2 linked regions of the Notamacropus eugenii genome follow. The protein of the gene in region 1 purifies or fractionates together with the protein of each later gene. This does not show direct contact. Links are inferred from orthologs where the notes say so. Each region holds a gene or a part of one and is shown in the gene's direction. Other genes may lie near its edges.

The links.
Region 2: the proteins of CAPN2 (region 1) and AFG2B purify together in Homo sapiens (co-immunoprecipitation; 3 studies listed by BioGRID and IntAct, with this or other methods). This does not show direct contact. The link is inferred for Notamacropus eugenii from reciprocal best matches to the Homo sapiens genes CAPN2 and AFG2B.

The regions. Positions count from the first base shown.
Region 1 is NC_092873.1:412,734,846-412,738,754, reverse strand, and holds the start of CAPN2 (calpain-2 catalytic subunit), read left to right. Parts: upstream 1-946; 5' UTR 947-987; coding exon 988-1,224; intron 1,225-3,909. UniProt on the Homo sapiens protein: Calcium-regulated non-lysosomal thiol-protease which catalyzes limited proteolysis of substrates involved in cytoskeletal remodeling and signal transduction. Proteolytically cleaves MYOC at 'Arg-226'.
Region 2 is NC_092878.1:52,183,413-52,187,321, reverse strand, and holds the start of AFG2B (ATPase family gene 2 protein homolog B), read left to right. Parts: upstream 1-965; coding exon 966-2,063; intron 2,064-3,530; coding exon 3,531-3,716; intron 3,717-3,909. UniProt on the Homo sapiens protein: ATP-dependent chaperone part of the 55LCC heterohexameric ATPase complex which is chromatin-associated and promotes replisome proteostasis to maintain replication fork progression and genome stability.

The DNA.
Region 1 (3,909 bases):
ACTGAAAATTTAACAGGAGCCAGTTGGAGCTAGTTCCAGCATCATCCTTTGGACTCTTTTCTCAGAACAAAGTTGTTCAATGCACAAAATAAAATACATAGAATTACAAAGAAAACCAATTATGTTGATATATGCATACATTTATCATATATATTTATATATCATATTCATTTTAAAATTTATGCATGTATTTATGTATGTGTATACACACACATTCAAGTTCATGGATCACAATTGAAGAACCCCTGCCTGAGATACATATTATCTTAACAATAATAATAATAGTAGCACGCATTTACATAGTAACATTTTAAGGTGTGCAAAACGCTTTACAAATATTATCCCAATTTACCCTCACAATATCCCCGTGAGGTAAAGGTTAGTATTATTGAGAACTGAGGATGAACAAGAACTGAGACCGAAAGCAATTAAGTACTTTGCCCCAGATCACAAAGCCAACGGAATGTGAACTTGGTCTTCTTTTCTCCTGATCCAGAGCTCTAACTACTGCGTCATCTTCTCCATACTCCGTGGAGATAAGTGGGCCCCCTAAGTGCCTAGCCTCCTTGGGAGAGGTGGAAGGGAAGGCAGCAACTTCCCAGGGGATGGGGAGCAGGATCTGGGGGAGAAGAGGTGCCCTGTGCGGGCGCGTGTGCCCAGACTGCCCGCAGAGGGCAGCACATCCAGTGGAGCTGTCCTTCCACGGGGCTTGGCTCCTCCCCTGAAGTCTTTGGGCCCGGAGTCCCGCTGCAAAGCGGCGCAGAGTTAGGAGACAAAGCCACACCCAGCCTTCTGCGGCGGGTGAGCTGGTGGTGCCCTTCCCTCTCCGGTGAATCACCCCCATCCGCAAACAGGATAGCAGCACCAGCTCCAACCCCCTGGCGTGCCCCTGCTCCTCGCGCCTGCAGCCTCCCTCTGCTCCTGGGCAGCCCCAGCGCCTTCTGAGCCGCATTTCCTAGGCCGTGGCAGCAACCCAGGACCGGAGCCATGTCGGGCATCGCAGCCAAAGTGGTGAGAGACCGAGAGGCGGCGGCCGGCCTGGGCACTCACGACCTCGCGGTCAAATACCTCAACCAGGACTACGAGACACTTCTCAACGAATGCCTGGAGGAGGGTAAACTCTTTCAGGATCCTTCCTTCCCGGCGATTATATCTTCCCTGGGGTTCAAGGAACTGGGACCGCACTCGAGCAAAACTCAAGGCGTCGTCTGGAAGAGACCCACGGTAGGCAGTGTACTGGCAAGCTGTTCTGGGGTGGGATGGGGAAGCGATCCGAGCAGGGAGAGGGGACTGGAGTCCCTCCCTCCCTCAGCAAAGCCTGAATTAAAGAGTCAATGCCAGGAGGTCAGTCTGTATGCCAGTTTGTATCTCAAGTTGGTATTGCCCCCCCTATACCTAATCCAGGACTCTGTATACAGTAGGTAGTTATTAAATAGTTGTTGGATTGAACTGAAACGAAGTGAATCATCCATCCATATTAGAGTTAGTACTAGCCCTCGCTGTTAGCTGACACTTAACTAAAGCGCTGTTAGCTGTTCTGGGTAATGAGAAAGGTAGAAAGGGTGGTGCGGTATAGGCTACACACCCAGGAAAATAGAAGTAGAATCCAAGCGGAAGGAGACGGGAATGGTTCAGGAAAGAATCAGCTGCGCCCTTATAGAAAGCAGCCAACCAGAGTTCAGCTTTTCCGAACATCTGGCCTGCTTACTCTATTAAAGGAACTGAGGTTACTCAGTGCAAAGGACTTGTAGGAGGGTCCCTTAGGGGAGCCCGGATTCCAGGAGGCCTGGAACACATGTAGTCTTTCCTCCTCACACACAATACAGAGCAAGATTTTCCAGGGCAAGCCCGGCTGTCATCACAACTCGGCATCCACAGAGTCAACATTAATCAGGAGAAAGCTGGTAAAGACCGGGGATAGCTAGCTCCTCAGAGATCTGGGATACCCTGTTGTGAGTCAAAGTCTGAAGATAAAGGAAAAATGGACCATAGGGAAAAGCAGCTAAGAAGCAAATATTTGAGGAGCCATGTAACCTGGTGCATTGTAGAAAGAACTTGGCATGAGGACAGAGGAGAAACTGGATCTACTCCCATCTCCACCCCTAACTAGTCAGGTACATCAGTGTCTCTAGGCCTCAGTTTCCTCATCTGCAAAATTCATTCATTTCTATACAGAAAGTATTTTGTTTCTCCACTGAAAGACAGCTGAGCTATCTGGTAGTACTTTAACTGGAGGTAAAATCTGGGAAGGAAGAGATACTCCAGAGGACTCCTTTTCATGGTCACTCCCGCTTCCTCAGACACTCAGGCCTGAGGTTTCTCCTTATTACATACAGCCTCTTTTGTCAAGCCTCCCGTTTCACACACCCATCAACTTTCACAAGATCCAAGGCAGGCAGACAGATGAGCTGGTCCTTGGACATTTTCTGCCTTCTCAGTGGAAATGTCTGTGCATATTAGACAGGTGCACCTTGGGGGGGCCCAATCTCCTGTCCTTCCACATTTGAATTGTTCCTCCACAGTCTGTTTACCAGACCTGAGTGAGGAATTTGAGGATCTCTCTTTAAGGTCATTGGAATGATTGAAAAGGCGATTGTCATCTTACATTCTCTCATCTGTGCCTTTCCCTTGACCCACTTTCTCATTTTTGCTACAACATTTATGAATGAAACAGAGGTTAGCTGTTTATTCTGGCTACAGTGAATTCTCCCTGGCCTAATTTGGCCTGATCAGGAATTTCTTAGCTACATTTGTGGACTTCAGAAAGAAAGCCAAAGGCGTGAAAAAAGTTTTTGAAAATACGTGGAATAATCCTTAACAATAAGAGCCAAATCTACAACCAGTATGGGGCAATTGGGCTGTACCCCTAATGCTGACATGGGGAAGTAGAGAGTTAGAGGAGTTATGGAGAGAGGGTGATTTCTCCATCTACTCTAGAAAGGTTTCCAGTTCTAGCTATCCAACCAGTTCGCTTCCTCCCTTGGCCTCAAGGAGTCCACCTGTCCCCATGGGGTTCATTATGCCCTTTGTGCCCTTCTGGGGGGCACCTCCTCATCCAAACTCTGGATCTCCAATTAGCTACCTAACCTGTGGCCTGGAGATCAGTAGGGGATCAGCCACAAAGTAGTTGCTACTGACTGTACCAATGGCTATAGACTGTGCCTCATAGTAAACTCAACCCTAATGCTTCCTCAGTCACTGTTTTCCTCTGCCCTTACTTTGTGCTGTAACCTCTGAAGTCCTTCCTCTGTTGTGGTCTAGTGGTGAAGTCATTAGATTTAGAATCAGAGATCTGAATTCAAATTCTGCTTCTACTACTTACTATCTGTGTGACGTTGTGTGAATCACATAACTAGGCTTCAGTTTTCTCATCTGTGTAAAAAAAAACTAGGTGGTACCATGAATAAATAGAGTTCTGAGTCTGAAGTCAGGAAGACTTATCCTCCTGACTGCAGATCTGTTCTCAGACATTTATTAGCAAGTCACTTAATTCTGCTGGCCCCAGTTTCCTCATCTGTAAAAATGAGCTGGAGAAGGAAATGGCAAACCACTCCAGTATCTTTGCCAAGAAAACCCCAAATGGGGTCACAGAGAGTCAGACACAAGTGAAACCACTGAACAAAATGGAAAGGAAAGGAAAGGAAAGGAAAGGAAAGGAAAGGAAAGGAAAGGAAAGGAAAGGAAAGGAAAGGAAAGGAAAGGAAAGGAAAGGAAAGGAAAGGAAAGGAAAGGAAAGAAGGAAAAAAGGAAGGAAGAAAGGAGGGAAGGAGGGAGGAAGGAAGGAAGGAAGGAAGGAAGGAAGGAAGGAAGGAAGGAAGGAAGGAAGGAAGGAAGGAAGGAAGAGAGGGAGGGAGGAAGGAAGGAAGGAAGGAAGGAAGGAAGGAAGGAAGGAAGGAAGAAAAAGAAACG
Region 2 (3,909 bases), on another chromosome or scaffold:
GGGGTAAAGGGAGGCGGCTTTCCTGAGCTCACTCACCCTAACCCTTTCGGACGGACGGAGACGCCCCCTCGGCAGACAAGGGCGATCCTCCGGCTGGGTGAGGAGGCCTCGGGGTGCGAAGCCAGGGAAGGGAGCACACGGTCTGTCTGTCTGTCTGTCTCCCCCTTCCTTCCTTTGCCGCCTGGCACCCTGGGGTCAGCTGGGGTCAGCTCTCCCCGGGGGGTCCCATGACGCGGGTGCGGAGCCGCAGAGAGCGCCGCTGAAGGCCTCTGGCTTCCCACGGAGGAAGCTCGGGGCGCTGGAGTCGAGGAAGAGGGTTCGGACTCGTCTCTGCCACGTGGGCGGGAGGGACTTTCCCTCCTGGGCCTCAGTTTCCCCATCTGTAAAATGGAGAGTGGAGGTGTTGCACGACGACTCCGGCAGGGGGCAGCAGGCGCAGGAGCGCGTCAGGCAGCTTCCCACGGCACTCAAAGGGCTGCCGAGACAGCCCCGTCCCACCGGAGCCGCACCACCCCGGCAGGGGGCGCTATTATTTTAAAGATGAGGTAAATAAGGCGGCGAGGTTAAGGGCCTTGCTCGGGGTCACATGACTATCAGGGTGCAAGGTTGCATTTGAACTCGGAGCTTCCGGACTGCAGGTGCAAGGCTCGTTACCTGAGAGCTCCACCTAGCGGGTAACTGGCGGAGTCACAGATTCCATCCCGGGAGAAGCCGAGTGTGAGGGAACCAATCAGAAGCCGTATGTAAATACTACCCTACCACACACTTTCATTCCTTCGATCACAGGCTCTCGAGTCAGAGTCCGCGACAATTGCTTGGCGCGTGCGCACCATCGTTTTCCGGCCCTCTCGCGGGGACCAGGGTGAGGGAAGGAAAGACTACGTCATCGCGCTGGGACGCGATTGGCCCGCCGAGGGAATTCTACGGCGTGCGGGTCAGCCGCTGATGCCGCCGAGCCCGGCGCGATGGCTCCGGACTCGGGGGTCCCCCAGACGGATCCGCTTCTGAAGCTGCTACCCCTGGACTCCGGGGACCGCGGGACGCAGCGCTGCCGCCTGGGCCCTTCCGCCCTCCGCGCCCTGAAGGTCCGCTTGGGCGCCGCCCTCCTGGTGGCCCTGCCGGATGGCGGCTCCTGCCTGTGCACCGCTTGGCCCCGGCGCGACTTGTCCGACGGCTTCGTGCAGCTCGACCCGGGGTGCGCCAGCCCCGGCGCGGCCGCGGGGCCGTGGGGGCCAGGCCGGAGCATCCGCCTGAGCAGCCTGCGCGCCGTGCCCTGCCCGCCTCTGCGCAGCGTCACCGTGTGGCCCGTGCTGCGGGAGCCGCCGGCCCCGGCCGAGCTCTCGAGCCCGACCTCGGTGCTGGAGGCGGCGCAGGAGCTGCTGCGGAACAGGCCGGTCGGGGCGCGCTCGGTGCTGACGGCGCCCCCGGGCTCCGCCGGCCCGCTGGCCGCCCTGCACGTGCTCGGGGGCGACCCCCGCCCGGAGCCCGCCGCGCTGGTCACGCCGCGCACCCGCGTCGAGCTGGGCGAGCCGTCGGCGCCCCCGGCCCCGGAGCCTCCGGCGGAGGCCACGCTGGGCGGGCTGGCCGAGGCGGCCGCGGCGCTGCGGGAGCTGCTGCGCCCGCCGCCCCTGCAGGCCCGCTCCCTGGCGGCGCTCGGCGGGTCCGCGCCCCGCGGGCTGCTGCTCGTCGGGCCGCCCGGCGTGGGCAAGACGCAGCTGGTGAGAGCCGTGGCCCGGGAGGCGCGGGCCCGGCTGCTGGCCGTGAGCGGCGCGGAGCTGCAGGGCTCGCGGCCCGGCGAGACCGAGGACAACGTCCGCCGGGTGTTCGCGCGGGCCCGGGAGCTGGCCGGGCGAGGGCCCGCCGTCCTCTTCATCGACGAGCTGGACGCGCTGTGCCCGCGGCGGGGCGGCCCGCGCGGGGCGCCCGAGGCCAGAGCCGTGGCCCAGGTGCTCACCCTGCTGGACGGCGTGGGCAGCGAGCGGCGCGTGCCCCTGGTGGCCGCCACCAACCGGCCCGACGCCCTGGACCCGGCGCTGCGCAGGCCTGGCCGCCTGGACCGCGAGGTGAGGGCGTGGGGGCCGGGGCCCCGGGAAGTCACGTCCGTAGCGCTTACCATCCGCCAGGCTGTGCGGGCACTTTACATCGTCTGCCCCCTGGGTCCTCACGGTTCCGGGAGGTCGGGGCTGCGCTTGGCAGATGAAAGGTCATAGGGCTCCAAGTGTCCGAGCTGCCCTGCCGCCTACCTGGCTGACCCTGGCGGGCCCCAGCCCTCAGCCCCAGGTTCTTGATCTGTAAAGTGGGAGCCATAGCCCCCACCTCCTCAGGCTGCGGGGGGCTCCCGTGAGATCCGGTAAGCTCCTCTGCAGACCGCGGAGTGCTGGTCCTCATCATCACCCTGCAGGCCCAGTTCTGCTGTGAACAGCTCCAGAGGTTCAGATGGAACATCGGAAGCTTAAGTGATTGGCTGGAGGATCAAGTCGTGCGTGAGTGTCTGAGGCCCACTGGGAACCCTGGTCTTCTGACGACAAAGCCACCCTTCTAACTCAGTCTTTTAGGCCTTCTATAAGGAAGAGCCTTCCTGGCCGTTGGGATGCACTGTATTTGCCCGTTTCAATCCAGTTACCAAGGACTGGTACAAAAGAATTCTACCCTTGGCTGTTTCATCTGCAGCTTCTCTCTAATTTAGTCTTAAAGACTGAGTACTGAGAAATTAAATGGGACAGTTCATTTTAAGCAAGGATTGCGTAGCGCTGTTTTCTCAAAAAGGGAGGGATTTATAAAACTGAATTAGGTAACTTAGACAACTTTTGGTTTGCTGCCCTGTGGGGAAACTTTTAGAACTGTTGCTACCAAATTCTTTATTATAGGAGATGGCGCCCTGAGCCAGTAAGGACAGAAATGTAAGCAACAAAAATAGCAACAGAAAGTTATTTTAAGAAAAAAACTACTTGTATTTATCATTAGTACTAAATTGAATTTTTTTGTTAAAGTTGTAAAGGACTTTTAAAGAATGTTTAACTGAACCACAGCAAAGAGTCTGAGTTAGGTTTCTACAACCATACTACCTAGAACTTATTGTTCAGTCACTTTCAGTAGTGTCCAACTCTTTTGTGACCCCATTTGGGATTTTTTTGGCAAAGATACTGGAGTGACTTGCCGTGCCTTCATTTTACAGGTGGGGAAACTGAGGCAAAACAGTCAAGTGATCTGTGCAGGGTCACACAGCTAGTAAGTGTGTGAGGCCAGATTTGAACGCAGGAAGACGAGTATTCTTGACTACAAGTCCAGCACTCTATCCACTTCGCCAATTGGCCGCCCTGCTACGTAGAATGCCTGACACAAGTTCATTTGCAAAATTTTCATCTAATGATCTTCTGGTGGGATTAGAACTGTCCAATTTTTCACATTCTTTGTAGTGGGTGCTAAAATGCCTTTTGACTTGAACTGCCAGAAAAAAGTGAGGAAAATAGAAAAGCTATAAATTCAAAAACCTTATGTCCACTTCACTTTGGGTGTTTGTTTTGTTTCAGATCATCATTGGGACGCCCACCCTGAAGCAAAGGAAAGATATTCTCCAAGTGATAACTTCCAAGATGCCTGTCTCCAGTAATGTGGATCTCCTTCACTTGGCAGAAATGACGACTGGCTACGTTGGAGCTGATCTGACAGCACTCTGCAGAGAGGCTGCCATGCAGGCGGTGCATCACACGGGTAAGGTATGAAGTTATCTCAGTGGTGGAGTCTTTTGTATTGTAGACTTTAGTTATTCAGCAAGCACTTATTCATTGAACCTGCGCTAAGCACTATGTTGAGAACTGGGGCAAAAACAGTCCATACTCTCATGGAGCTCACAATCTAATGGGGCAGAAAGCCATGTACAAACAAGATGTATTGGAGATACTCAACAGA